Linked DNA regions of Oryctolagus cuniculus. The protein of the gene in region 3 purifies or fractionates together with the protein of the main gene of each other region. This does not show direct contact. Links are inferred from orthologs where the notes say so. Each region holds a gene or a part of one and is shown on either strand. Other genes may lie near its edges. The genes, in order: SMARCD3, ARID1A, ACTL6A, PHF10, PBRM1, SMARCC2 and ARID1B.

Region 1 (4,070 bases), on a different chromosome or scaffold from region 3:
GCAGGGCAATGCTGGGTCTTCAGGGCCCAACTTCAAGTAGGTGTCCCGTTGCCCCGCCCTCACCTGTGTTGACACCGCAGCCCCAGCAGGCCCTTAAACTTGACCCTCTGTCGTCCCAAAGCCCACGGGCCCCTCCTCCGGGAGGAGGAGATAGGGGCGTGGCCTTGGGGCATGGGCGGGGCCAGGGCGCCCAGTCTGGGGATCTCAGGATTCGCCCCTCCTCTTTCCTGTCTCTCCTCCACCCCAGGGACTGCCAGCTCCCTGCACACCGCCCCTTCGGGGGCTCGCTCTCACCCCACCCTGCGCCCCGGCTTCCTCTGGGATGCTGAGGCGGGCCCGACCCCTCCGGGGTCCGCACCCCTAGGCCCTCAAGCCCCGCTTGTCTCCTGCTTCCCAGACGCCCCCACCGAAGCCCCCAGCCCGGCCCTGCGCCGCCTCGCCCCGCGTTTCCCCCTCGCTGCGCTCTCTGAGCCCCGTCCCCGTCCCTCCTTCCGAAATACTTGCCCTCCTGCCCTCACTTTCTCACACAGAGGCAAACAAAGACCCACATACCCAGAAATAGCCTCGCGCGGAGCGGAGCGCGGCGCAGGCCGCGTCCCGGCCCCACGCACGCGCGCAGGCCTGGCGGCTCCCGCGCAGCGAGGCCCCCGGGCGAGGCGTCCGTCCGTGCGCCCTCGTCAACACCCGCAGCCGCCGCGCCGGGCCGCAGGGTGCGGACGCCGGCCGCCAGACAAGGGCACAACACACACACACACACACACACACACACAGCCGTGCGCGCAGGGAGCGCCTCCTCCCCGGCACACCCGGCGCGGCCGGCCTCGGCTCCCCCCCGGATTCCTGCCCGCGAATGTTTCCCTACTTGGCCTGCCAGGTCTCTGGGGAAAGGGCCTCAGAAATGCAGCCGGAGCCTCTCGGGGAGGGAAGAAAGTTGGAACTGACTGTTCCCTGCCTGGCCCTGCCGGCGAATTCCCTAACCGAGCAGCTATTTGTGGCGAGAGCCCGGGTGGCCGGCGAGCCCCCCGCCAGCTCCCCGCGCGGCCCTCGGGCGGCTCCGGGCTGCAAGCGCCGCTACCCTGCGCCCAGGCGGGGCCGGGCTCGCCGCGCACCTCGCCGCTTATCTGCGCTGTTTGGACAGCGCGGGCTGCAAAGGCCGGCGTCCCCGTCCCCGCCGAGTCAACAGGCAGACCCCGGGCCGCCGGACTATTTCTGTCTTATCAGTGCAGGAATGCGGCAGCCGCGGCGGCGGCGGCGGCAGCGGCGGCGGGCGGGCGGCGGCGGCGGCGGCGTGGGCCGTGGGCCGTCAGGGCAGCCCTGAAGGGGCCCCCTCCCCACTCCGCTCGAGTAGAAGTGTGAGAGAGCCCAGCAGGACTCAGAGGGGAGAGTTGGAGGAAAAAAAAGGCAGAAAAGGGAAAGAAAGAGGAAGAGAGAGAGAGAGTGAGAGGCGCCGCTGAGCCCACCCCGATGGCCGCGGACGAAGTTGCCGGAGGGGCGCGCAAAGCCACGAAAAGCAAACTTTTTGAGTTTCTGGTCCATGGGGTGGTGAGTGGGGGAAAGTTAGCGGGGGAGGGTGAGCGAGCTGGCTCGGGCTGAATGGAGGGATGGCCGGGAGGGGCCGGGAGGGCGCTCCCGCGCGCCCACCCCTCCGGCGGGGGCGCCGCGGCCACAGCCCAGCGCCGGGACCGTGCCGGCGCCCTGGCGTGCCAACACGTCGTCAGGCGGCGGGCCGGGGATGGGCGCGCGCGGCGGGGAAGGCAGGCGACTGCGCGGGCTCTTGTCAGGGGCGGGCGTGGGACTGGGGGACTCCCCCCACCCAGGTGGGGGTCCCCTTCTGTGGCCGACATGTTGTCTGGGTTCCCCAGCGGGCCCAGGTGTTACCCCTTCCCCGGGGGTGGGGGCGGGGGACGGGGACGCGGCGCAGCCCTGTTGGGTTGTCTGTTCACATCCGTTGGGACGGTGTCACTCTGTTTCCAGAGCGTGGAGCAGGTGACCCTGGAGGCACTGTGGGCGCGAAAGCCCTCTGGCTGAGCAACCTCTGTATCCTGGCAGGAGGGCACTGGGGCATTTTCGGCGTAGCCCCTGCCATCAGGGTCAGGGAGAGGCTCCCTCTAGGGACAGACTCCAGGTGGAAGGAGTCCGAGCGTCCCCTTGGCAGACGCCTGTCCTTAATATCTCCAAGGTGTGAAGAAAGGGCCGGAGTCGGGGACGTGAGGCCTAGGGATCCCAGGGACAGGGCAGCCCCAGAGGCACGTGGGAAGCCCCAGGCAGCCTCAGCAACCCGAGGCAGGGCACGGAAGAGGCCTGAGCTGGGTGGCTCGGGGGCCACGCTGGGTGTGGAGACGCGAGAGGGGACGACGTCAGGTTCACTGCGGCCACATTTGGCCGTGACCCCCCAGGAGGGCACCTTCTTGGTGAGGGAGGCCAGAGTCCCTGAATCTTGGCCTGTTGTGGGGGTGGTGCTGGTGGCTGGCACAGCTCCCTGGGGGCCCTGGAAGCCTCCCAGCAGAGCAGGCAGTATCCCTGGCCTTGACAGAGAGGGAGCCCAGCTGATAAAGCCAAGGGGGTTCCTGGGTCAGCCTGGCCTCCAGCGCTGGGCATCTCTGGGGTCGACTTTCCAGGGCCTGCATGTCCACCAGCTGCATCACCGGTCCTAGCCTTGCTGCTGCGGGGAGTTCCTTTGAAAAGGCCCAGCTAGCAGGGAGAGAGGCTCGACATGGGTCTCTCTCTCTCTCTCTCTCTCTCTCTATATATATATATATATGGCCAACTTAATGCTTCAGTTCTTAGGTGGCTCGGCGCCCCACCATCCCCACTCCCAGTGCCCCATCTAGGCTGGCGGAGAATGGTCACCAGCTAGCTCCATTCTGGGTTGCCACCCTGGAAGCATGAGTGACAGGGTCAGGTGGGGTGGGGGGAGGCAGACACATGGTCGGGCAGGTTTCACTGCTGGAAAGATGGACAGAGACAGCTGCTGGCTGGGAGTGGGAGGGCTTTAGGGGCAAAGTCAGGGGCAGCATCGGGGCGTCTCCTTGGGCCTAGGGTGAGATAATGGAGTGGATAAATGACAACAGGGGCCCCTTGCTCCCCAAGATTCCTGCTTTTCCCAGTCCCCATCCCACCCACTCCCCTGCTGCTACACAAGCCCCTGAAACCCTCATATCCCTCCTGAACTCTGGACAAGTGGCAGTAGCACTTCACTCATTTGCATCTCATTTACACCCCATCCAACCACCTAGGGGCACATGACCCACCTCATCTCCCTCTCCACCACCCTCTTTGAAACCTGGCTTCACTGGGGTGGGGGTGAGCAGTGGAGGAAGCCTGCTGGGTGTGAAGCCTTGGCTGATGGCTGATGGGTGCGGGTGGACACGCTGCTTCCTTTGACCTGGCCCAGGCCCCCTGGTAGCTCACCTCCAGCCCAGCTCCCCCTCCTCCCAATCAGAATCCTGGCAGGCTGTGACGTCAGCCCCTCAGGTGCCTTTGCCCTTGCTCTGCCTTCAGCCTTCACCCGGGGAGCAAATCTTGGGGTCCAGCTTAGTTGCTGAAGCCTCTGGGTGTGGAGTCAGCTGGAGGGGATGGAGTTTGGGATGCAGAGGTCCAAAAGCAGGGCGTGGAGAGAGGAGGGGGCAGCTGAGGAGGAGCCGGTGCAAGGCAGAACAGCTGGAGGAGTGGAGACCAAGAGGGAGGGAGCCGTAAGGAAAGTCAGAGCAGGGAGCTCAGCCCCTAACTTCAACGAAGCCGCAAACGGCAAAACGCTGCGGCCCTCAGGAACCCGGAGCCCTTCAGGTGTTGTCCTAGCCAAGATGAGCTGCGTGACCTTGGCGAGGTCGCCGTTCTCCTTGAGCCACAGTTGCCTCGTCTGTCAAGTGGGAATGAGAGGACCTGTTCACTGAGTCTGGCAGAGGCGCGTGAGGGTGTGAACCTCCTTTGGAAGGTGGAAAGGCGCCATTGCCAGTTACTGTGCGTTTTTGCGGTACCTTCCGCAGCTCCAGGCTCGGCAATGCCCTGGACAATTGCCTGGCTTCAGTTAGCTTCCTGCAGCGACACGCCAAGCCCCCTCCGCCGAAGCC
Region 2 (3,500 bases), on a different chromosome or scaffold from region 3:
AACGTTTGAGATGATCTGAGCACCGAGCATGTACCAAGGCTGCCATACAGTCTGACAGAGAACACACTATGACCAACCCATGGGGAGGCCGAGGACCTCAGCGTCATCTCCCCCTTTATAGAACACAGGCCACTAACCATTCCTGCTGCTGTGAGTAAGGTCCAGAAAGAGGACAGGAACTAACTGTCCATGGTGCATACCGTCTATCAATGTTCCAGTAAGTACAGAAGGCAGTCAGTTTCACAGAGGGCACCAGCCAAACAATTCAGAGACTTCTACACAGCAGTGTCTTACAGTGTTACAGAGGTATGAGAATCAACGCTATTTACTTCACAATTCTTTGAGCTAACTCAAACCTAATTCAATGAGCTATTATTCTGGGCCCCTTCATGATAAGAAGAGGCAACTGCGGGGTTTTCAGATTACTTAGTGATGTCCTAACAGGCTAGACTCATCACTCTCTTTTCTTTTCCCTTCCTATCACTGAAAAAGAATAGGATCCAAAGTTGAAAGGAGTCACGACAAACTCGATACCTTGGATTTGGACTCTGTCTTGGGTGTCCCATCTGCCTTGTTGTTCATTTTGGTCGCAGGAGTTAACTTGACATCCCCAAGGCCCATCATCTCTGGGCTGGCTGCCATCCCTATAAAAGAGAGGACATAATTCGCATGTCCAATACATTAGTTAGCATGTGACGATCACTCTTGAAACATTCTCTAGGGTGAGCAAGGCAAGAACATACCTGCTGAATTGTTGGCCATGGTTCCACCCATGGGGTATGGGGGTCCCTGAGGGTTGATCATGCCAGCCATACTATTAATCCCTTGTCCATAGGGAGGTCCAGTTCCCATCATGCCCCCCTGATTCATATTGGGGTAGCCTGGTGGCCTAAGGAAGAAGAGGGAAAGTGAGAGATAGGTTACAAACATGAAGCTTTCAGATTGGGATTTGAGCTAATTAAAATTAAGGCTGTATGACCATCTAGTTAGGCTTAAAAGGAAAAAGCATATGGGTCTTCCCCCAAATAGAACTATGTAACAGTTAGATATTCTCATTTTCTACTTCCCACAAGAGTCTAAGAAGGGTTGAACTCTATAAATCACCCCCTCAAGTTGTATTTCCTTTTAACAGCCTAAATGAAATGCTCAATTGTACCAAGCCTTAATCAAATTGGACCCCTGGACAAAGCATCTGGAGATGGCTTTACAATCTTTCTTGATGGTCATAACACAAACTTTGCACTTCATCACTGTGAAGGTCTACCAAACCCACTTCTTTAGTCAACTGCTCTGTTTTATTGTGGTTTATCAATACGGCAATGAGATTCATTTTAAGAGTCATGGGCACTAACAATAGGGTGGTATAAGGAGTTGTATCTTGAATAACAGTGAAATCATATTCACAGAAGTCTGAGACTGATGAAGAGATAACTCTTCAAGTCGCTGGACCTCACACAGGAGCCTCCTGCACTTCAATACCAGTCAATGCACAGGACCATCAACAACCACAATACTACCATTCTTCCATTCTTCACACCAGATTCAAATCATGTTTATCACTAACCATCCTTTTAGAAACCAAAAAATTAGACTGACAGAAGTGAATCCACCTCCCCTGAAGACTTACTTTGCTAATCAACATAATCTGTTTATAGTTCTTTACATATAGTATAAAGTCCTTTATATACATATTTGGTCATGTGAAATTTGATATCAATATAAGATGCTTAAGAACCAATAATTCTGTTGTTTTTTTTTTTTAAACACTATAATCTAATAAAACCTAGTCTCTAAAGAGCTCTTGATATGTTTCTACCTGTTACATGTGCATACATACAATGTTCTGATTTAGTTCCAGAAGCACCTCAATCACTAAATGGGTCTATGGTAGATTTCCTTGCACTGACACCCTTTTACTTTCCAGGCCTTACCTGTTTTGGATAGAGTTGGCAGCAACATGCATGGCGACAGCAGTTTCTTGAGTTTTCCGGTTCATACCCCCTGGTGGGGGGCACATCCCTGACCCAACCTGAGGTGGCATATTGGCCATGTTAGGGCCATAAGGCCGGTTGCCCATGGAGGCATGACTCATTCTCCCTGGAGGGAGTGTGCCATAAGGTGGGATGCCAGGCTGCCCATGCATCTGACCTCCAGCACTCATTGGGTTTATGCTTCCAGCCATGCCTGCACTAGGGTAGTTGGCATTGGGCAAGGCATTATAGTTTGGCTGCCTGGGGTAGCCTCCTGGAGGGGGGAGGGGGAGAGGAAACAAGAGACTGAGTTAGTGACTCACTGGCAACTCACAGCTCTAAAACTCTAAACAATGAGAATCATTGACTATTTGGTCAGGAAAGAGGTAAACTTCATGGTAGCCTTTACCCCCATGCGAAAACTAAGTAAAGCAGTAGTGTTTCCCCATCTTAAAAAAGAGGTGAGCAAGGCTGGCTTTGCTATCATCTGGGCCCTTAAATCCCCAGAGGAATCCTTTCTTTTCAGTACACTCACCTTGCTTTCTATCCCATGCTCTGTGCAAGATATTCACCTTTAGATCTACTTAGGGCTGATGTATATATCTATGTATGTTTTTTAAAAGATTTATTTATTTGAAAGATGGAGTTACACAGAGTGAGAGAGAGACAGACAGACACAGAGGTCTTCCATCCAATGGTTCACTCCCCAGATGGCCACAACAAGCAGGGCTGGGCCAAACTGAAACCAGGAGCTTCTTCCAGGTCTCCAATGTGGAAGCAACAGCCCAAGCACTTGGGCCATCTTCCACTGCTTTCCCAGACGCATTAGCAGGAAGCTGGATTAGAATGAGCAGCTGGGACTCAAACTGGGGCCCATTTGGGATGCAGTGGCTTTACCTGCTATACCACGACAACCTCAAGACAAGAGCTGATTTTAAGTAACAATCTATTCTACTAGGACTTATTCATTAAAACAAACAAAACAAAACAAAACATCCACAGCTAACATCTAAAGAGTCTGTGCTCAGTTCTGGGCTAAACACCTAATCCCCATTTTATAAATAAAACTTAGGAAACTCATACTTTTCCATGGTGACAAAGATAAGGAGAGGCAAGATGGAACCCAGTACAACCCTACATCAGAGTCTGAGATGGGTAGATTTAAGGCAAAGGACACCTCACTTCTACAACATATCAGTGAGGAACTATTTTCTCCTCCGCCTACTCCCAGTTGGGTAGTATACTCACCTTGTGGGCCATACTGACCCCCCTGGGGGCCATAGCTCCCCATGGAGTTCTGCTGGTAGGAGCCCATGCCTGTGTGCATCTGTCCTCCAGAAGGCTGACGCGGAGATAAGGCTGAGCCGGGCTGGGGGGAACTGTACTGGGGCATCTGGGGATTCCTCTGCATATAACCTATTTGTGGGTAGTAGCCATACAGTTAGTATTTTTAAAGGTTTATGTATGTATGTATATATGAGGTATGTATTTGAAAGGCAGAGTGACAGAGTCAGAGGAAAAGACAGAGAA
Region 3 (4,259 bases):
AAGCAGTAGAAGATGGCCCAAGTCCTTGGGCCCCTGCACCCATGTCAGAAACCTGGAAGAAGCTCCTGCTTTCCCAGGCCACAGCAGAGAGCTGGATCAGAAATGGAGCAGCCAGGACTCGAACCGGCACCCACATGGGATGCCGGCACTGCAGGCGGTGGCTTTACTCACTATGCCACAGCACCGGCCCAATTACTCAACATTTTTAAGTGAATGGTTTGGTTGCTTTTAACACTAAATTCCTTGGAAAAATATGATCCACTATAAACACAAAATCATACTTACTTTTGTGAATTCTAAGTACTTTCTACATGAAAGACTTTAAAACATCAGAGTACTTCAAAAAGTTCATGGAAAATGAATTAAAAACTAAGTATTTTGGTGCAAAAATTTTTGAAATCCATGTTTTTTCATAAGCTTTCTTGATTAAATTCCAAAAATGTTCACACTAAAATAAACATTCAACTCCATTTTCCATAAACTTTCTGAATAATCCTTACACTCCTCTGAATAAGCTAGCAAGAAGTGGTTTTATTCTGAACACCTAAGTCATACATGGTAATACTATGGTTGTATAACTGAAACATGACACACAGAGAAATAACCAAAGAAATGGCTTTTTTAAAGGAGTAGGGAAGGGCTTGGCTGAAATGCCCTTTATTTCAGAGATTTTTGCTCTCAACTCCCTAGATAATTATGACTTTGGGCTGATTTTTAACCTTTCCTATCTTTACATCATTTTCTTCAGTAACACAGGGATAATAATACCATCTTACATGGTGGTTGTAGATTATAGGAGTTACTGCATGGATTAAAAATAATGCACATAAAACCTTTGGAATACTCTTGGTCTCCAGTACGCACCTAATAAATGCTAGCTGCTAGCATTAGTATTATCCCATTCCTACCAGTCATACTAAACAATGCCTTGTAAGGAATACTGGACAGCCTCCGGATCCTTGATTCAATGAACCTGGAGCTCCTAAGAGTCTAGACTCAGTTTCTCTGGAGTCAAGACTGAATCTTCAGATGGGGAAGAGGTGAATTAACAAGATCCAAAGTAAAAATAAGAAAATCAAGGACACAAAATAGGAAGGAGGAGGCAACAGGCTCAGCATGCTGCCTCAGAGAAGACTCTGAAACTACACCACCAAAAATACTAAGAACTTAGAAAAGTTACCTATCCCTTTACCTGCGGAATGCCATCCTCTTCAGAAAGAGAATCCTTACTAAAACAGTAGCAGTAGCAAGCACATAGTCCCTCAGTGTTTGCAGCGGATTGGTTACAGGACCCTACCCCCATACACCAAAATCCTTGGATACTCAAGTCGACTATATAAACCGATGTAGCATTTGCCTATAACCTGTGGCACAGACTACTGGATACTTTAAGTAGGTGTTCTCTATGTTACTTATAATCCCTAGTACAATGTAAACACTATGTAAACAGCTGTTATACTTTAGGGAATAACAAGAAACAAAATCTGCACATGTTCAATACAGATGCAATTTTTTCTGAATACTTCTGGTCCACAGTTAGTGGGATCCACAGATGTGGAGCCCACAGTTACTCAAGGCTGACTGTATTTCGGATTTGTCTTTTGGGTCTCTAACTCAAACACACCCCAAAATGTGAATCCAACAGTGAGTGCTCCAATTGTCTGGGGCATCTTTCAAAAATGGAAGCCCTGACTCTGTAGAACGGAGGGTGGGCCTTGAGATTCTTTCTAAACAGCTTGCAGGTGATGCTGATATTGCCGCTCCACGGACTTCAATTGGAGCAGCAGGTGTAGCTTCATGTCGGTCCATCTTGGCAGCCACCCTCGTTGGCTAAGGAATTCCCATCCCACGAGCGAGCGGCGCAAAGTCGGGGAAAGTAAACTGCCCAAGGCCAAGGCGCTGAGAAGTTTGACGATGCCCACAGCCCGTGGTAATCTTTGTACCACAACACAGTCTACTCAAGAAAAGCCAGAGAACAGACGCCCGGGACCTCAGGCAAAGCTTCCGGGCGTCCTTAAATTGCATGTGTCTCTAGATTCATCCCAACCAGGCCCTCCCACGAGTAACTCCGCAGACTCCACGGTCAAGAATGGGCAGGAGCTGCTGAGGAACGTGAGGCAGCGCGAGCGCAGGGCGCAGACCGAGGCGGCCGCCCCCTCTCCCCTCGGTCCACCTCTCGCGGCCGCTCTGCCTTCTATGGGACGTTGCGGACACCCTCCGTCCGCGCTCGCCAACTGCTGGGGGCCTCCCAGGTTAAACGCAGACGCAAGCCCCACACGGGCGAATTTTGCAGACACACGCGGGGCTGCCACCCCGAGGCGAGACACTCCAGCCGGGGCGCCGCGGGCCGGCCCGCTGGAAGCAGCACGCGCGACCCCAAAAGCCCAGCTCCTCCGGCGCCCGAGGCGCACGCTGAGCCGGGTGGGCTCCGGGGGCGGGCAGAGCGCGGGGCGGGGATGGGGCGGGGAGGCCGGGGTCCCGAGAGGGGGAGACCGGAAGGGACCGCCGGGTAGGGGAGGGCTGGGGGCGGCGGTTACAAACCCCACACGCCAAAAAGGCGCGCTCTCTGGCCGGGCCGCCTTCACTCACCTCCCCCGTACACGCCGCCGCTCATGGCTGCCGTCGGCTTGATTCCTGGGCGAAAAGGTGCCGGGCGAAGTGACTACAGCGGCCGCCACACGCGCTGGCCCCCGACCCCCTTAACTTCCACCGCCACCCCCCTCCGGCAACAAAGCGGCGTCCACACACCCGAGAGCTCAGCCACACTTGCTGGCTCCCCTTAGCAGCCAATCACGAGGAGGGAGGCCTACCTTTCAGCCAATCATAATGCGGCTTCGCTGCATCCCCGCCGCGGCTCCGCCAGTTTAGCCAATCGAAGGTGGCCATGGGGGCGGGGTTGGGCGGAAAGCGACGGAAGGAGGGCAGGAGTTGGGTTGCGGGACTCCAGGGGGCGGAGCTTGCAGGGTGGGCGGAGGGAGCGGGAGAGCCAGGCGTCGGGGGGCGGGCCCAGGGGTGTGACCAGGCGCCGAGGCGCGGTGGGAACCTGGGGCGGGAAGGGGCTCAGGAAAGAGGCTGGAAATGGGATAAAGTATGGAAATAGGATAAAGTGTCAACGAGCAGTAATTCCTGACCTTGCACTGCAGTGAATTTACGGATTTTTAAAGATTTTCCATAAAAAAAGCATTTTCAACCAACATTTGTTGAATAAAATTGTACTCCACTTTGTGTAGGGTCAACCAGTGAATCAAACAAATTAATAGGCTCCTGCAATTTTTTTTTTTTAATTTTTTGTTACAGAATTAAATGGCCCGTTTATTCACTTAGAAACCATTGTTAACCCCAGACACAGGCATTTCCCAATCACCAGCAGGTCCCTTGGCAAAGGAAAACGAACTCATATCCGAACTTCGGCAAGGAGGGAGCCTCACGGCGCGCAGTTCTTCGTGGAGGTCAAGGGCAAGTTGAGGGCTCAGCCGCCAGTCACACAGAGGAGCGGCGTTTGGCTTCTCAGCAGGGAGAGCGGTTCACCGGCAGACTCGGGCCTGCGTGCAGGCCTCTGGCAGGTTCTCCCCACAGATGCCACCCTCGGCCACTGCCTCACAACTGGGAACCCCAATATTGATAAAGCAAGCAGTCAACAGGCGGGCAGACAGGAGAGCCCCGTGACCACCTCGCCAGGTCACAAGCCGACTTAGATATACAATTCCAATGATCAAAAAAGGCCAGAGGTTACAAAATCAAAGCCGGAAGCCAGGAGTGAGGCATGAATGACGCCACTTCCTCTCTGAACCAGGAAACACTTGACTCAGCGGGGAGGTAACGGGCCAATGCCTTTCCCAGGTGTCCAGCGAGAGGCAGGGACGTGTCCTTGCCTGGCGTCAGCAAAGGCCGAAACAGCTGGCCTCTGCACGCCAGAACTCCCACCAGGGGAAGGATCCTGCAATTTTTTAAAATGCTTATTCATGGCTAAGACGTGATGCATTGTACCAACTACATTTAGATAGGTCATCCGTTTCTTTTATCTGGTGAGACAGGTATTGAACGAGCTAATCGATGCTCATTCAGGCAAGCATCTAAGCCTAAATACATCTCCAGTCTGTCTGCTCTGCTTAGTAGATGATTTCCACCAGCCAGGCCAGCCCACTGTCGTTCTCCCCTCGATTACTGCAACCACTTGTCACTGCCTCTTCACAGGCTGCAAGCAGCTTCATCTATAAAGAGGCTCAAACCCTTCACGTCGCTGCCTGTGCCTGTGACAG
Region 4 (3,500 bases), on a different chromosome or scaffold from region 3:
ACAGAGCTCATTCCACGCCTAGAATCATGGAATTCCTTCGGGAAAGGAAGCCGATTTGCTCTCCACTGCGTGCGCCCTTCCCCCTTTACGACAGCTACAGATTTAAGGAACATGGAGCAGAGACCTGTGCTTCCCAGCTAGACACAGCACGGTCTTGTCTGCCTTCGACTGTGAGCACAATTCCCAAGAAGCGCAGTGCCTCTCGCGCTCGCCACATAACGAGGACAGGAGCCGGGCGGCTTACACAACCCCTCTGAGGCTCAACTTCTTCACGTATGAAACGGTGATGACGCCAGTCCCAACCTCATGCGGTCAGAACTGAGAAATCAAGGCACATGGAGAGTTCTGACACCCTCGGACACACACAGAGTATGAGAAGCAGCTACTGCAGTCTCACTCAGCAGAGCCGCAATGAAGGGCACACAGCTCCCCAGACAGCAGGCTGGGTGTCCCTGGCACGTAACTACACACGGCTTCCTACGTTCCAGTGGGAGGAAGAGGACAGGTAGCATAACAAACAGTAAGGGGGTAACGCCACTCTGCAGTGACAAGCAAGGAGCTAGGCCCAGAGACTCCTGAGCTTAAATCACCCTACATGTGTCTGTAAGTCAAAGTAGGCTCTTCTCTCTTCCATGCGCTCCCGGTTTAAATTGCTGTTAAACTCAGCTGCTTTCTTGGCCGCTTTCTTGATGTACTCAGGCACTTTGCTGGCTTCGACTTTCTGAGTGTTCTGCTGTTGCATTTGCTGAAACAGAAACAGTGCAGTTGAAAGTCACATGTCATCCTCCCAAACCCAAACAAGGCGCGGTGGTCACTCCCAGTCACTCACAGAATATTCTTTGTAATGGTCTGTAATTCGCTGACGCTCTTTTTCTTGCAGAATAACAGAATATTCAGCATGTTTGGCTGGATATTCTTTTATCATTAAATCAATCACTTCATCACTGCGCAATGCTGTTAAACCTGTATTAGAAAAATTTTTAAAAAGAAAGTAACTCTCAAGGGAACAAAAACACTCTTGAATTTGCCTCTCTTTCAAACTACATTTAGAAGGTTTTCAAACAAAGCAAACTATTTTAAAACAGCTAAAAGTAGTACCTGTAGTATAATGACATCAAGCAACCAAAAAGCAAGATCGGGGTGGGAATTTGGCCTCACAGCTGAGATGCCAGCTGAGACCACGTCCCGTGCCGAAGCCTGTCCACCCCAGCTCTGCTCCTGATCCAGGTTCCTGCCACGCAGCCCGGGAGGCAGCAGGGAGAGCACCCACGACTGGGCTCTTGCTCCCCAACAGGGAGATGCGGACGGGTTCATGGCTCCCAGCTGCGGCTCCACTAGCTCTGTCTGCTCTCTCTGCCTCTCAAATAAATAAATCCATTTTCAACCAAATGAGTTTTTTAGATCCTATGTATTCTACAAAGGAACTTCAAAAAGTTCATAGGAAATGACAATAAAATTTATTTGGATGCAAAAGATTTTGAAACCCATGCATGGTATTTTCTTAACACCCATTTTGCATGGAATTTTTGAAGACCCTCAGCATGCATTAATTCAAAATTGTTTTGTACCAAAATAAACTTATCCTTTAATTTCATTATCCAAAACCTTTTTGAAGTACCCTCATATAAGCATATATCCCTTTATCTACAAACAACTGCCAAAAACAATACAGTCTAACTCCTAACAGGATACAGGATATCAGTTAAAAAAAAAAGCTTTTCAAACTACTGGTTTTTCCTAGCCTTCAAATTCCATACCAGAAATATTATAATCAACCCAAACTTTACCAAAAGCATCAGCGCATACACACATCATGAACACAATTTTCAAAACGTGATAGTGTCAGATTTTACTCAGCTGCTAAAATGAACTCTCGTGCATTCACACAGAAAAGGAGCCACACAGGGCTGATGCCAACATCCTGTGTTAACTGACAGTTCAAGTCCTGGCTCCTCCACTTCACGTCCAGCTCCCGGCTGATGCTTCTAGGAAAGCAGCGGAGGATGGCTCAAGTGCTTGGACCCTGCCACCCACAGGGAGACCCGGATGGAATTCAGTGTTCCTGGCTTTGAACCATTTGAGGAGTGAGCCAGTGTCTGCCTCTCCCTCCCTCTAATTCCTCCTTTCAAATAATTTATATTAATGTCTTTTAAAAAAGAAAAAAAGAGCCACACTATACACTACATTAAAATGCTTATCAAAGGAAAAGTATAAAGTATGGAGAATATTACACAAAACTGAATATTCAGCAAAATTTCCCTTTTAAGAGATAAGAACCTATACTTTTTTTTAAAGATTTATTTGGAAGGCAGAGTTACAGAGAGGCAGAGGCAGGCAGGCAGAGAGAAAAAGAGAAAGAGAAAGAGAAAGAAAGAGAGAGAGAGAGAGAGACAGAGAGAGAGGCAGGCCTTCCCTCTGCTGGTTCACGTCCCAGATGGCCACAACAGCTAGAGTGGCACCAATCTGCAGCCAAAAGCCAGGAGCCAGAAGCTTCTTCCGGGTCTCCAGCACAGGTGCAGGGTCCCGCTACATGACAGCACCAGCACCCTGCATGGTATTTTTTTAAAAGTATAGGTTCTGGGGCCAGCGCTGTAGTATAGTGGGTAAAGTCACTGCCTGCATTCCATATGGGCGCTGGTTCAAGTCCCAGCTGCTCCACTTCCAACCCAGCTCTCTGCTGTGGCCTGGGAAAGCAGTAGAAGATGGCCCAAGTCCTTGGGCCCCTGCACCCACATGGGAGACCCAGAATAAGCTCCTGACTTCAGATCGGTGCAGTATCAGCCATTGCAGCCAATTGGGAGTAAACCAGTAGATGGACAACCTCTTTCTCTCTCTCTGCCTCTCCTTCTCTCTCTGTGTAACTCTGCCTTTCAAATAAATAAATCTTTAAAAAAAAAAAAAAAAGAGCAAGCTTCTATTACCTAGAGTGCATTGAGTTTCTGTGATGACGTTTAACTCTCTCAGGTACAGTTTCTCCTTATGAGACAAATCTCGTCTCTCTAAATCTCCAAAAGGGAAGAACAGAAGACTATTAATAACAGTAAAGCATTATGCATTATAAAACTTACAAAAGCTTAAAAATTTTCTGTTTAAAAGTACTTCATGTCATGTATCTCAAATACTGTTAAAGGGGCTACACAAAAATTGTTTGAATTCAAGGAATAAAACTGAAAACAGAATAACCCAAAGATAACATAAATAACTGTACGGAACAATTCATCAAAGGTAGTCCTCCTGCAACTCAAGCATGGCTTCTGTACTAACTCATTCCTAAAGTCAAGGAGCAGTGGCAAAACAAACTCATGGCTAGAGATGGGTTTTGTCTTAAATTTCTCCAGGAAAGTCCCCTTTCTCATTTTGCTTTTATATCAGTTCGTGAGACATAATAACACATCAATAGGTGGAGAAGCTGAATGCCAATAAATGAAAATCAGAGCGCACAAGAATAAAATATATATTACCAATAATCCACATCCAAGAATTCAGTGGTTGATAAGCTA
Region 5 (3,500 bases), on a different chromosome or scaffold from region 3:
AGTTGCAGAGAGAGAGAGAGATCTTCCATCCACTGGTTCACTCCCCAGATGGCTGCAATGGCTGGAGCTGTGCCAATCCAAAGCCAGGAGCCAAGAGCTTCTTCTGGGTCTCCCACGTGGGTGCAGGGACCCAAGGACTTGGGCCATCTTCCATTGCTTTCCCAGGCCACAGCAGAGAGCTAGATTGGAAGTGGAGCAGGGGGCCTCGAACCTCTACCTATATGGGATGCTGGCACTGCAGGTGGCAGCTTTACCCACTACACCACAGCGCTGGTCCCATGGATTATTTCTATATAAAGAATTTTTTTCCTTGTTATTTGGTTAAGCAGTGGTACAGTTTTTTGTTTGTCTTGTTTTGGAAGAATAAAAGCCTGATTTTTTTCTCTTTTTTTTAACCAGTTTTTATGATAGTATATCGGTTTACTAATACCCTCTTTTTTTTTTTTTTTTTTTTTTTTTTTTGCCAGGCAGAGTTAGACTGTGAGAGAGAGAGACAGACAGAGAGAGAGTTATAGACAGTGAGAGAAAGGTCTTCCTTATGTTGGTTCACTCCCCTAATGGCTGCTACAGCCAACACTGTGCCAATCTGAAGCCAGGAGCCGGGTACTTCCTCCCAGTCTCCCATGCAGGTACAAGGACCCAAGCACTTGGGCCATCCTCCGCTGCCCTCCCAGGCCACAGCAGAGAGCTAGACTGGAAGAGGAGCAACTGGGACTGATACCCAGTGCCCCTACTGGAACTAGAACCTGGGGTGCCGGTGCCGCAGGCAGAGGATTAGCCAAGTGAGCCACGGCACTGGCCCCCTCCAATTTGTTTTTAAAGATTTATTTTATTTTATTTGCAAGTCAGAGTTACACAGAGAGAGAAGAGGCAGAAAGAGAGAGAGAGAGGGGTCTTCCATCTGCTGGTTCACTCACCAGTTGGCCGCAACAGTCAGAGCTGCGCTGATCCGGAGCTTCTTTCAGTTTCTCCCACGTGGTCGCAGGGTCCCAAGGACTTAGGCCATCTTCTACTGCTTTCCCAGGCCATACCAGAGAGCTGGATAGGAAGTGGAGCAGCCGGGCCTCAAACCAGCCCCCATATGGGTTGCCAACGCTTCAGGCCAGGGTGTTAACCACACTGCACCACATTGCCGGCCCATCCTCCAATATTTAACTACGTTTTTGTTGGTCCTTTTTTTTTTTTTAACAGGCAGAGTGGACAGTGAGAGAGACAGACAGACAGAAAGGTCTTCCTTTACCGTTGGTTCACCCTCCAATGGCGCTGTGGCCGGCGCACTGGGCTGATCCTAAGGCAGGAGCCAGGTGCTTCTCCTGGTCTCCCATGCGGGTGCAGGGCCCAAGCACTTGGACCATCCTCCACTGCACTCCCGGGCCACAGCAGAGAGCTGGCCGGGAAGAGGGGCAACCGGGACAGAATCTGGCGCCCCGACCGGGACTAGAACCCGGTGTGCCGGCGCCACAAGGCAGAGGATTAGCCTATTGAGCTGTGGCGCCAGCCAGTTTGTTTTACATGTATATGTATCATTATTAACAGCTAGCTTTATTGCTGACTTCAATCCATTTTAGTTATTCTCCTTATTGATGCTTATGTTGTCTCAGGCTGGCTCCTGTATTCTTTTAATGTGACCATCGTAAAAAATAGTTGATAGATTTTTTACAATGTGTTGTTTCAAGATACACCAGACTTGGAGTCAGCCATTTGTGAAGGAGTCCTAAACTTTGTATGTTTCTGTTAAAAGGCCAGGATTGTTTGAAATTAACGTTTTAAAACTGTGGTCCTGAGATATACTTCTACTAAGCTGGTCATTATTTCTATGACTTTCAATGGACAGACCTAAAAAATTGAGCATGTCTATGTATATGTGTTTATATTTAAAGATAAAATGCATCGTGGCTCAGTTGATACATTCAATTGCGATTCCAGGCTATGGAGCTTTTATCCATGTTCTTGGTTTTAACATCTGTGTCTCTCCTTCTCCCACAATGAAATCTCAGTTCTGTGGGGTTTCAGAGATGATGGAATAAGTATGCCACGTATCTACTGACTTGCTGTATCCCACATTATTCACAGCTAGCTGAGCGTGACAGTACAAACTGTCCGTTCAAAAATTTGATTTCTGAAAACAGTTAAATAATCTTTTGTAATGTATTTCACTGAAGATATGTTACTGTGTTTTGCAAATCACTTGTTCCTTTCTTATGGTTATGCTACCAATTGTATACAAATTTATATTCATTTATTTCATTTAATCCATTTAACATAAAATTTCTTTCTTTCTTTAGGTAGGAAGAGTGGCATATCTCCTAAAAAATCAAAATATATGACTCCAATGCAGCAGAAGCTAAATGAAGTTTATGAAGCTGTAAAGAACTATACTGATAAGAGAGGTCGGCGCCTCAGTGCCATATTTCTGAGACTTCCCTCCAGATCTGAGCTGCCTGACTACTATCTGACAATTAAAAAGCCCATGGACATGGAAAAAATTCGAAGTCACATGATGGCCAACAAGTACCAAGATATCGACTCTATGGTTGAAGACTTTGTCATGATGTTTAACAACGCCTGTACATACAATGAGCCCGAGTCTTTGATCTACAAAGATGCCCTTGTCTTACACAAAGTCTTGCTGGAGACTCGGAGAGACCTCGAGGGAGATGAGGACTCTCACGTCCCAAATGTGACTTTGCTGATTCAAGAGCTTATCCACAATCTTTTCGTGTCAGTCATGAGCCATCAGGACGATGAGGGAAGATGCTATAGTGATTCCCTAGCAGAAATTCCTGCAGTAGATCCCAGCTTTCCTAACAAACCTCCTCTTACTTTTGACATTATTAGGAAAAATGTTGAAAATAATCGCTATCGGCGGCTCGATTTATTTCAAGAGCATATGTTTGAAGTATTGGAAAGGGCAAGAAGGATGAATCGGTATGTTTTTAAAGCCATTTCTTTTTGAGGATGTGATGTTTAGTGCCAGGCAGTTGAGTGGAAATTGCTTTGATTCAGCTTATGTGTGTGATTATAGTTGTTACCATATTATTCTGACTTAATTAGGCTGAACTTCAAGAGTGAGATATTCCATGGAGAAGAGAGGGCACACTTCTTTCTGTTTTTTGTTTTTTTTTTTTTTTGTTTTTAAGATTTATTTATTTATTTCAAAGTCAGACTTTTGGAGAGAGAGAGAGTTACACAGAGAGGCAGAGAGAGAGAGGGCTTCCATCCACTGGTTCTCTCCCCAGTTGGCTGCAATGACCAGAGCTGCACCAATCCAAAGCCAGGAGCTGCTTCCGAATCTCCCACATGGGTGCAGGGGACCAAGCAATTGGGCCATCTTCTACTGCTTTCCCAGGCCATAGCAGAGAGCTACATTGGAAGTGGAGCAGCCGTGACTCGAACCAGTGCCCATATGGGATGCTAGCACTGCAGGTGGTGGACTCACCCGCTATACCCCAGCACCAGCCTTGAGGGCACGCTTCTTTTTTTTTTTTTTTTTTTTTTTT
Region 6 (3,500 bases), on a different chromosome or scaffold from region 3:
ATGGTGAACACAGGGGAAGGTTAGGGCTAATGTACCCTTTCTTAGCGTTTTTCTTCTTAGCTTCTGGGGTTGGTGAAGGAGAAGGGGAACGCTTCCTCTTCTTATAGTTCCCTCCCTTCTTGTCTCGACGATCTGAATCCGGGCTGTTCACCTGCAGGTTGAAGTGCGATAGGCGTCAGCCTACAGTCCCCAGCAAAGATTTGTTCTGAGATTGTGCTTAATGGGGCTCCAGGAAGAAAGAACACAATTTCACCTCGTCTGTCAGTGTCTTAGCTGAAATCTTCTTTCGGCGGGAGACAGGGTTTTTGTCATCATTTACTTCATAGTCTTCCTCATTCATCCACTCATTGAAGGTGTCTGTGTCCAGGATCCACTTTGCATGAACCTAAAGCACAAAAGCAGACGGTGCTGGAGGGAAGCCTGGAAGCAACAGCTGGGTCTGGGGACCTCTGTTAAAACACATGTGTGTTGGTGGGCAGGTTCTGGTGCAGCAGGTGGCACATGCTGTATTGGAGTGCCGTGGGTTTGATTCCCATCTCTACTGCCAATTCCAGGTTCTTGCCAGTGTGCACCTTGGGAGATGTGGGGAGCAAACCGGACTAGACTGAGTTACTGGAATTAAGACTTATTCTATGCATCTGCTCTCCCACAATATGGCGCTGGGAGAGAAGTAAACAGCTTCCGCACAGCTGCCTCCAGTTCAACCAATAAACTGTAGGACTTGCTCCTGATTGGAAGAGAGCAGCGTACTCGGCGTGTGGGCAGCCGAGTTGGGATTGGCGGAGGAGGACTATAAAGGAGGAGAGAGACGGCATGCACCAGGAACATCTAAGGGGAACATCTAGCTGAAGGAACACCCGTGCAGCCCCCCAGAGAGCCGGCCGGCGGTGTGCCGCTCCCCTGCGGAAGTGGGGAATGTGGCCAGGGGGAACTGCCCTTCCACGGAGGTGGAAGGGATAGTAGCCAACCCGGGAAGAACCAGCAGCAAACCCGGGGAGGGCCGAGCAGACGAAAGAACAGCGCAGGGTCCTGTGTCGTTCCTCCACGAAGAGGGGGAGCGACATAATGGTGCCGTGACTCGGATATGAAGCCTAGGCAGGGCTTAGTGTCGTTCCTCCACGAAGAGGGGGAGCGACAGGGAGATAGGAGGTAATGGCTCAAGTAGGTGTTCCTGCCACCTGTGTGGAGACATGGATTGAGTTCCTGGCTCCTGACTTCAGCCTAACCTAGTGCTTTCTGTTGCGGGTATTTGTGGACTGAACCAGCAGACAGATCTCTCTCTGTCTCTGTCTTTCAAATAAAAATGAAAATAAATAAACAATAATTCAAACAAAGTCCAAGGGCACAGAAGCCTCACTGCCTCACCTCCAGAAAGTGGTCTGGTCCCAGCCTCCCTCATGGGGTGGGGGCACGGGAAAATCTTACCTTTCTAGGTTTCTCGGGAGTTGGTGCGTCTTCCACAGATGCTTCAATTTCACTTGCCGGGATCCAGGTGTCGTAACTGCCATGAGAAATTGAGCATGAAGTACAATCAACAGGATAGAGTGCAGATCTTTTGGAAACACTTACATAAAGTACCGGGTTGTTGGTTTATCTTTTTGGCATGGTTTATTTTTCCAGGTGCTATCCAGAAAACATTACAATGCATTTAAAAAGCAGAGAACAGGGGCCAGCACTGTGGTGCAGCAGGTGAATACACTGCCTGTGACACCAGCACCCCATATCAGAGTGCAAATTCAAGTCCTGGCTGCTCTCTGCTAATAGACCTGGGAAAGCAGTGGGAGGCTGTCCAAGCACTTGGCCCTTGCAGCCCATGTTGGGGACCCATGTGGAACTCCTGGCTTCTGGCTTCAGCACGGCCCAGTCCTAGCTGTTGCGATTATGTTGGGAGTGACCCAGTGGATGGAAGATCTGTCTCTCCTCCTCTCTCTGACACTCTACATTTAAAATAAACAAAACAAATCTTATAAACACCAGTGCTGCCCCTAGCTCACTGAGGTCTAGCAGGAGAAGAAGAGGGTAGGGAAGGAGGTCTCTATAAACATTGGTTCCCAGAAAGCAGACCGCCCACAAATCAACCAGCAGTAAAGCACCCACAGCAGCAACCAGCTACAAAACCCACCGATGAGGGAGTGACCTCTACTGGAGGGGTGAAGAAACCTCATTGATACAAGCCTGGCATTGTGGCGCTCAGTCCTCAGAAGTCCACTGAACTTTTGATTCGAAAACTCTCCTTCTAAGCGTCTGGTGGGAGAAACTGCTCAGGATTTCAAAACAGATCTGTGCTCCCAGAGTACCACTGTTGGTGCTTTCCACAAGACAAGAGAGGCCTAGCTGGCTGGCCTTTTTGAAGACACCAACCTGTGTGCTATCTGTGCCAAATGTGTAACAATTATGCCAAAAGACATCTAGCTAGCATGCCACACATGTGGAGAATGTGATTAAGAAACCACTATGTGGGTAAAGCTGCCACCTGCAGTGCCAGCATGCCATATGGGCACTGGTTCAAGGCCCAGCTGTTCTACTTCTGATATAGCTTCCTGCTAATGGCCTGGGGAAAGCAGTGGAGGATGGCCCGAGAGCTTGGGCCCCTGCACCTTCATGGGAGACCCAGATGAAGCCAGGCCCAACCCTGGCTGTTTTGGCCATCTGGAGAGGGAACCACTGGATAGAAGAGCTCTTTCTCTGTTTACAGTCTAACTCAAATAAATTAAAAAAAATTTTTTAAACTTAAAAAAAAAAAAAAGAATCCATTATGATCTTTGGTGGGAAACATTTCATTTCAAAAAAATTTTTTTCTCTTCTTCCCGTTACTGGTAGTTCTGAATATCAGACATCTTTTCCCTCCACATGTCCAAAAGGTCCCTAAGGGCCAGTGCTGTGGTGCAAAGGGTTAAGGCGGCACCTGCAGAGCTGACATCACATACGGGAACTAGTTCAAGTCCAGGCTGCTCCACTTTCAGTGCAGCTCCCTGCTAATGTGCCTGTGAAAAACAGTGGAGGATGACTCAAATGCTTGAGCCCCTGCTGCTATATGGGAGACCTGGAAGAATCTCCTGGCTTCGGCCTGGCCACTGCTGGCCTTTGCAGCCATTTGGGCAAAGAACCAACAAATTGGTTGATCTCTCTCTTTAATTCTAACTTATAAATAAATAGAATAAATCCCATTTTTCTTAAAAAAAAGGTCCCTAAGTACATGATTCTGAGTGGAAAAATGGGGGGAAAATTCAAGTATTGGCAATTTTTTCCATTTTCATGTGTTTTTGAATTTTTAATATAAATGTGTGGACAGAAAGCATTCATGCAAGGGGCTGGCGCTGTGGTGTAGCAGGTAAAGCCGCGCCACCTGCAATGCTGGCATCCCATAAGGACACTGGTTCAAGTCCTGCTGTTCCACTTCCAATCCAGCTCTTTGCTATGGCCTAGGAAAGCAGTAGAAGATGGCCTAAGTCCTTGGGCCCCTGCACCCATATGAGAAAACCAGAAGAAGCTCCTGGTTC
Region 7 (3,137 bases), on a different chromosome or scaffold from region 3:
AATCTCCATCTTGCTCTCGAAGTGAGTCTGGATGTGTTCGGTGGTGTCGCCGCCGCCCAGCTGCCAGTGCAGGAGCCCGCTGTTGAACTCCTGCACGCGCCCCAGCCGGTCGGACCGGTCCACCACAAACAGCTTGTTCTTCTTGACGACCTTGATGGGCAGCTTGTCGAACTTGCTGGCTTGCTTGGGCTTCTCCTTGGGGTCTGCGGTGGCGTCCGGGGCGCTCAGGCCCGGGCTGCCCTTGGCCTCCGGCTCAGTCTTCTCACCGTCCTCCTCGTCCTCCTCGTCCTCGTCTTCGTCCTCGTCCAGGCCGTCGGCCTCAGCCTCCTCTCGCCCAGAGTCGTCCGCCGCCGCCTGGCCGTCCTGTTTCCTCGCCGCGTGGTGATCAAGTGCTTTCTGGCTGGGGTCTCCCACTTCGTATTCCATGAGGATTCCAAAAATGTCAATCAGGCATTTTCTAAAGTACTCGACTAAGAGTTCGAGAAATCCCGACAACTGGAGGGGGTGGGGTGGGAGGAGAAAGAACAGGCACGTGAGTGCAACGCTGCGGGCGAGAAGCCCCGCGGACCCCCCGGCCACACCTGCCCTTTCTGCCTGGGCCACGAGAGGAAGCCCCCAGCAGGCGGCACCCACTTCCAGAACCCACAGCTCTCACTAGCGCCCCGCAGCGGCCTCCTTACTGTTGCCCCACCCGTGCGAACACCTGCTGGGTTTTCCAGTGCTACCAGGGAGGGGCGCTCGGCCGTCCGTCACCTTCTTTTCTGACTTAGAGGCAACGCACACATTATTAAAAGAGTGAGAATGTGGATTTCATAGACGCTTTCAGCCAAAGGGACTCTGTTCTCTTCTATTATTTATCCGAGACTTGCTTGCTGGGGTTTTTATGGTTATTATTCTTAGGATTTAATGGTTATTTTTATCTCAGGTGCCGTAGGTTACCCTAATTTACGTTCTCCATATCTCTTTTGGAGAAGATAATTTCAGCAATGTAGTAGCTCATAAACACTGAAAATTAAAAACAAATCAATTTAGTCCCTGATAAATGAATTAGAATGTTTCATAAAACGCGATTTTACATTTCCATTATGCACAACTCTAGCTGAAGACAAAAGCGGCAGGGCGCACCACTGCCTCCGGAGAGCCGGCACTGGCTCCCCGAGCGAGTGTCTGCGTGGGGAAGAGACCCACACGCTCCAGGTGAGCGCTCCAGCTCCCCCCGGCATGCAGGTGCTGGAAGGGTGTTTTAGTGACAGACGTTAGGCATGTCAACCCCACCTTTCTGTCCCACTGTCAGTTTCTTGAGAGTGGGACGGGAGCAGTCACTGGGAAGTAGGGAAACCCCAGCCACGTCCAAGGGCAGAGGTGGAGCCTGGACTTCCCTCACCCTTAAAGTGCACTCCCCCGCCCCCTCCAGGAAAAGGGGAAGCTACCAAAGCAGTTCTGTTTATGAAAATGTGGGAGGGGCCGGCACTGTGGCACAGCAGGTAAGGCCACCGCCTGCAGCACTGCCTTCCCATTTGGGTGCTGGCTGGAGTCGTGGCTGCTCCACTTCTACTCCAGCTCCCTGCTAAGGGCCTGGGAAGGCAGTGGAAGACGGCCCACGTATTTGGGCCCCATGCTCCTATGTGGGAGACCTGGAAGAAGCTTCTGGCTTCAGGCTGGCCCAGCCCTGGCTGTTGTGGGCTTTGGGGAATGAACCAGCGATGGAAGATCTCTCTGTCTCTCTCTCTCTGCCTTTAGAATAAATAAATAAATCTTATAAAGAAAAGAGAAAAAAAGAAAATGTGTGATCAATAGTAGTTCATCCAACAGAAGGATGAACATTGATTACTCCAGCAAAGGGCGCATACATATTTTTATATATTCATTTTCTGTTAACACAGGGCTGTACAATGTTTATGGTCTTATTAATATACTTCCTTTCAATGAAAAACTTGCCTTTCTGGGCCACAGTGGGGGACTTAAATGAGAGAAGAAAAATGAAGGAAAAGATTCTGTAGAATCAAGGAAATTAGGTGTTTTAGTTTTCTTCCACCAAAAGCAAGAAAAATAGCCATTCCTCATTTTTATTTCTAAATACCCACAAAAAAACTCCACAGCCCAGCTGACTGCTGGACATCTGTGCAAAGCCTCAGCTCTGTTTTTTCTTCCAGCTACTGTGCTGGAAGCTGCCTGAAACCTAGCTTTGAACAAAGGAGGGCTTGAAGCTCATTCAAGCTAACAGGTGTTTAAATGACAGCGTCCAAATCACCCGGGAGGCAGAGATGGGAGGAATGAGACCTGGAGACAGGCCTGGCCCCAGCTCTTCATCGTGCTGGTGGGACGCTGGGCACAGAGAGCTTCCCTGGGTTCCCTGGAACGTTCTGTGCACGCCTGGGCATTCTGTACATTTTCTCTAAGATTTGCAGACAGACGTCAGGTCCCCCAGGAACGCAGGGTGACGTTCCATGGTGAGCACTGCCTTTCCTACCTGCACCACAAGGCTAACTTCACTTAACATTGTGATGAACTCCAACTGGCCTGCTACTATGCATTCTAAACAACAATGTAATTTTATTACTGTCAGCTACTCCACACACACCCACAGTTATCCCAGGGGAGCAGGGGCGGACCTTCAACCTCCCCAGATAACTGCAGACTGATCAGTGCTGGCCCAGGGCAGCTGTCACGCCTGAGCACGAGTCGGTGCCCGTCCACTGGGGCACACACCCCGGCGTTCCACACGACTTACGGGTCCTGTGTTCTATGTGTTGGCGAAGCTCACCTGGGAGAGATTGAAAGTAGCAACGGTGCTGTCATCGTAGAGAAGGATGTTGATGGTGTCCAGAGCCCAGGTGCTTTCTGCCAGAAGACCCGACTTAAGGGACATCATCACACGCCACGCCTCGGGAGTAGCTGCAAACGGCAAAGGAGGAGCAAGTCAGACAGGAAGTAGCAGCGGGGCAGAGAGGGCTGAACACGGACTCCGTGCAATGCTCCGAGGGCCGCTGACCAACCGTGGTTGTGTTTAGGTTGTAAGACGAGGGGATGAGCTGAACAGTGCAGTGGGGCTGGTTAGGATCCTCTGGCTTTGCTGGTTAAACATGAGCCAAAGTGCTTCCGGGTCAGAAGTGGCTGAGCACAATCGCTGCTCTCTC

What was found.
Region 1: the proteins of ACTL6A (region 3) and SMARCD3 purify together in Homo sapiens (affinity purification with mass spectrometry; 3 studies listed by BioGRID and IntAct, with this or other methods). This does not show direct contact. The link is inferred for Oryctolagus cuniculus from reciprocal best matches to the Homo sapiens genes ACTL6A and SMARCD3.
Region 2: the proteins of ACTL6A (region 3) and ARID1A purify together in Homo sapiens (affinity purification with mass spectrometry; 5 studies listed by BioGRID and IntAct, with this or other methods). This does not show direct contact. The link is inferred for Oryctolagus cuniculus from reciprocal best matches to the Homo sapiens genes ACTL6A and ARID1A.
Region 4: the proteins of ACTL6A (region 3) and PHF10 purify together in Homo sapiens (affinity purification with mass spectrometry; 3 studies listed by BioGRID and IntAct, with this or other methods). This does not show direct contact. The link is inferred for Oryctolagus cuniculus from reciprocal best matches to the Homo sapiens genes ACTL6A and PHF10.
Region 5: the proteins of ACTL6A (region 3) and PBRM1 fractionate together in Homo sapiens (co-fractionation; 4 studies listed by BioGRID and IntAct, with this or other methods). This does not show direct contact. The link is inferred for Oryctolagus cuniculus from reciprocal best matches to the Homo sapiens genes ACTL6A and PBRM1.
Region 6: the proteins of ACTL6A (region 3) and SMARCC2 purify together in Homo sapiens (affinity purification with mass spectrometry; 8 studies listed by BioGRID and IntAct, counting the BioPlex papers as one, with this or other methods). This does not show direct contact. The link is inferred for Oryctolagus cuniculus from reciprocal best matches to the Homo sapiens genes ACTL6A and SMARCC2.
Region 7: the proteins of ACTL6A (region 3) and ARID1B purify together in Homo sapiens (affinity purification with mass spectrometry; 5 studies listed by BioGRID and IntAct, with this or other methods). This does not show direct contact. The link is inferred for Oryctolagus cuniculus from reciprocal best matches to the Homo sapiens genes ACTL6A and ARID1B.

The regions. Positions count from the first base shown.
Region 1 is NC_091438.1:22,579,849-22,583,918, forward strand, and holds the start of SMARCD3 (SWI/SNF-related matrix-associated actin-dependent regulator of chromatin subfamily D member 3), read left to right. Parts: upstream 1-1,270; 5' UTR 1,271-1,464; coding exon 1,465-1,542; intron 1,543-4,070. UniProt on the Homo sapiens protein: Involved in transcriptional activation and repression of select genes by chromatin remodeling (alteration of DNA-nucleosome topology).
Region 2 is NC_091438.1:144,733,246-144,736,745, forward strand, and holds part of ARID1A (AT-rich interactive domain-containing protein 1A), read right to left. Parts: intron 3,387-3,500; coding exon 3,219-3,386; intron 2,245-3,218; coding exon 1,932-2,244; intron 890-1,931; coding exon 744-889; intron 645-743; coding exon 535-644; intron 1-534. UniProt on the Homo sapiens protein: Involved in transcriptional activation and repression of select genes by chromatin remodeling (alteration of DNA-nucleosome topology).
Region 3 is NC_091435.1:100,247,005-100,251,263, forward strand, and holds the start of ACTL6A (actin-like protein 6A), read right to left. Parts: upstream 2,801-4,259; 5' UTR 2,615-2,800; coding exon 2,590-2,614; intron 1-2,589.
Region 4 is NC_091436.1:634,201-637,700, reverse strand, and holds part of PHF10 (PHD finger protein 10), read right to left. Parts: intron 3,006-3,500; coding exon 2,922-3,005; intron 964-2,921; coding exon 830-963; intron 746-829; coding exon 596-745; intron 1-595. UniProt on the Homo sapiens protein: Involved in transcription activity regulation by chromatin remodeling. Belongs to the neural progenitors-specific chromatin remodeling complex (npBAF complex) and is required for the proliferation of neural progenitors.
Region 5 is NC_091441.1:97,124,613-97,128,112, forward strand, and holds part of PBRM1 (protein polybromo-1), read left to right. Parts: intron 1-2,285; coding exon 2,286-2,928; intron 2,929-3,500. UniProt on the Homo sapiens protein: Involved in transcriptional activation and repression of select genes by chromatin remodeling (alteration of DNA-nucleosome topology). Required for the stability of the SWI/SNF chromatin remodeling complex SWI/SNF-B (PBAF).
Region 6 is NC_091442.1:58,984,923-58,988,422, forward strand, and holds part of SMARCC2 (SWI/SNF complex subunit SMARCC2), read right to left. Parts: intron 1,502-3,500; coding exon 1,426-1,501; intron 386-1,425; coding exon 254-385; intron 152-253; coding exon 36-151; intron 1-35. UniProt on the Homo sapiens protein: Involved in transcriptional activation and repression of select genes by chromatin remodeling (alteration of DNA-nucleosome topology).
Region 7 is NC_091436.1:10,395,236-10,398,372, forward strand, and holds part of ARID1B (AT-rich interactive domain-containing protein 1B), read right to left. Parts: intron 2,896-3,137; coding exon 2,765-2,895; intron 496-2,764; coding exon 1-495. UniProt on the Homo sapiens protein: Involved in transcriptional activation and repression of select genes by chromatin remodeling (alteration of DNA-nucleosome topology).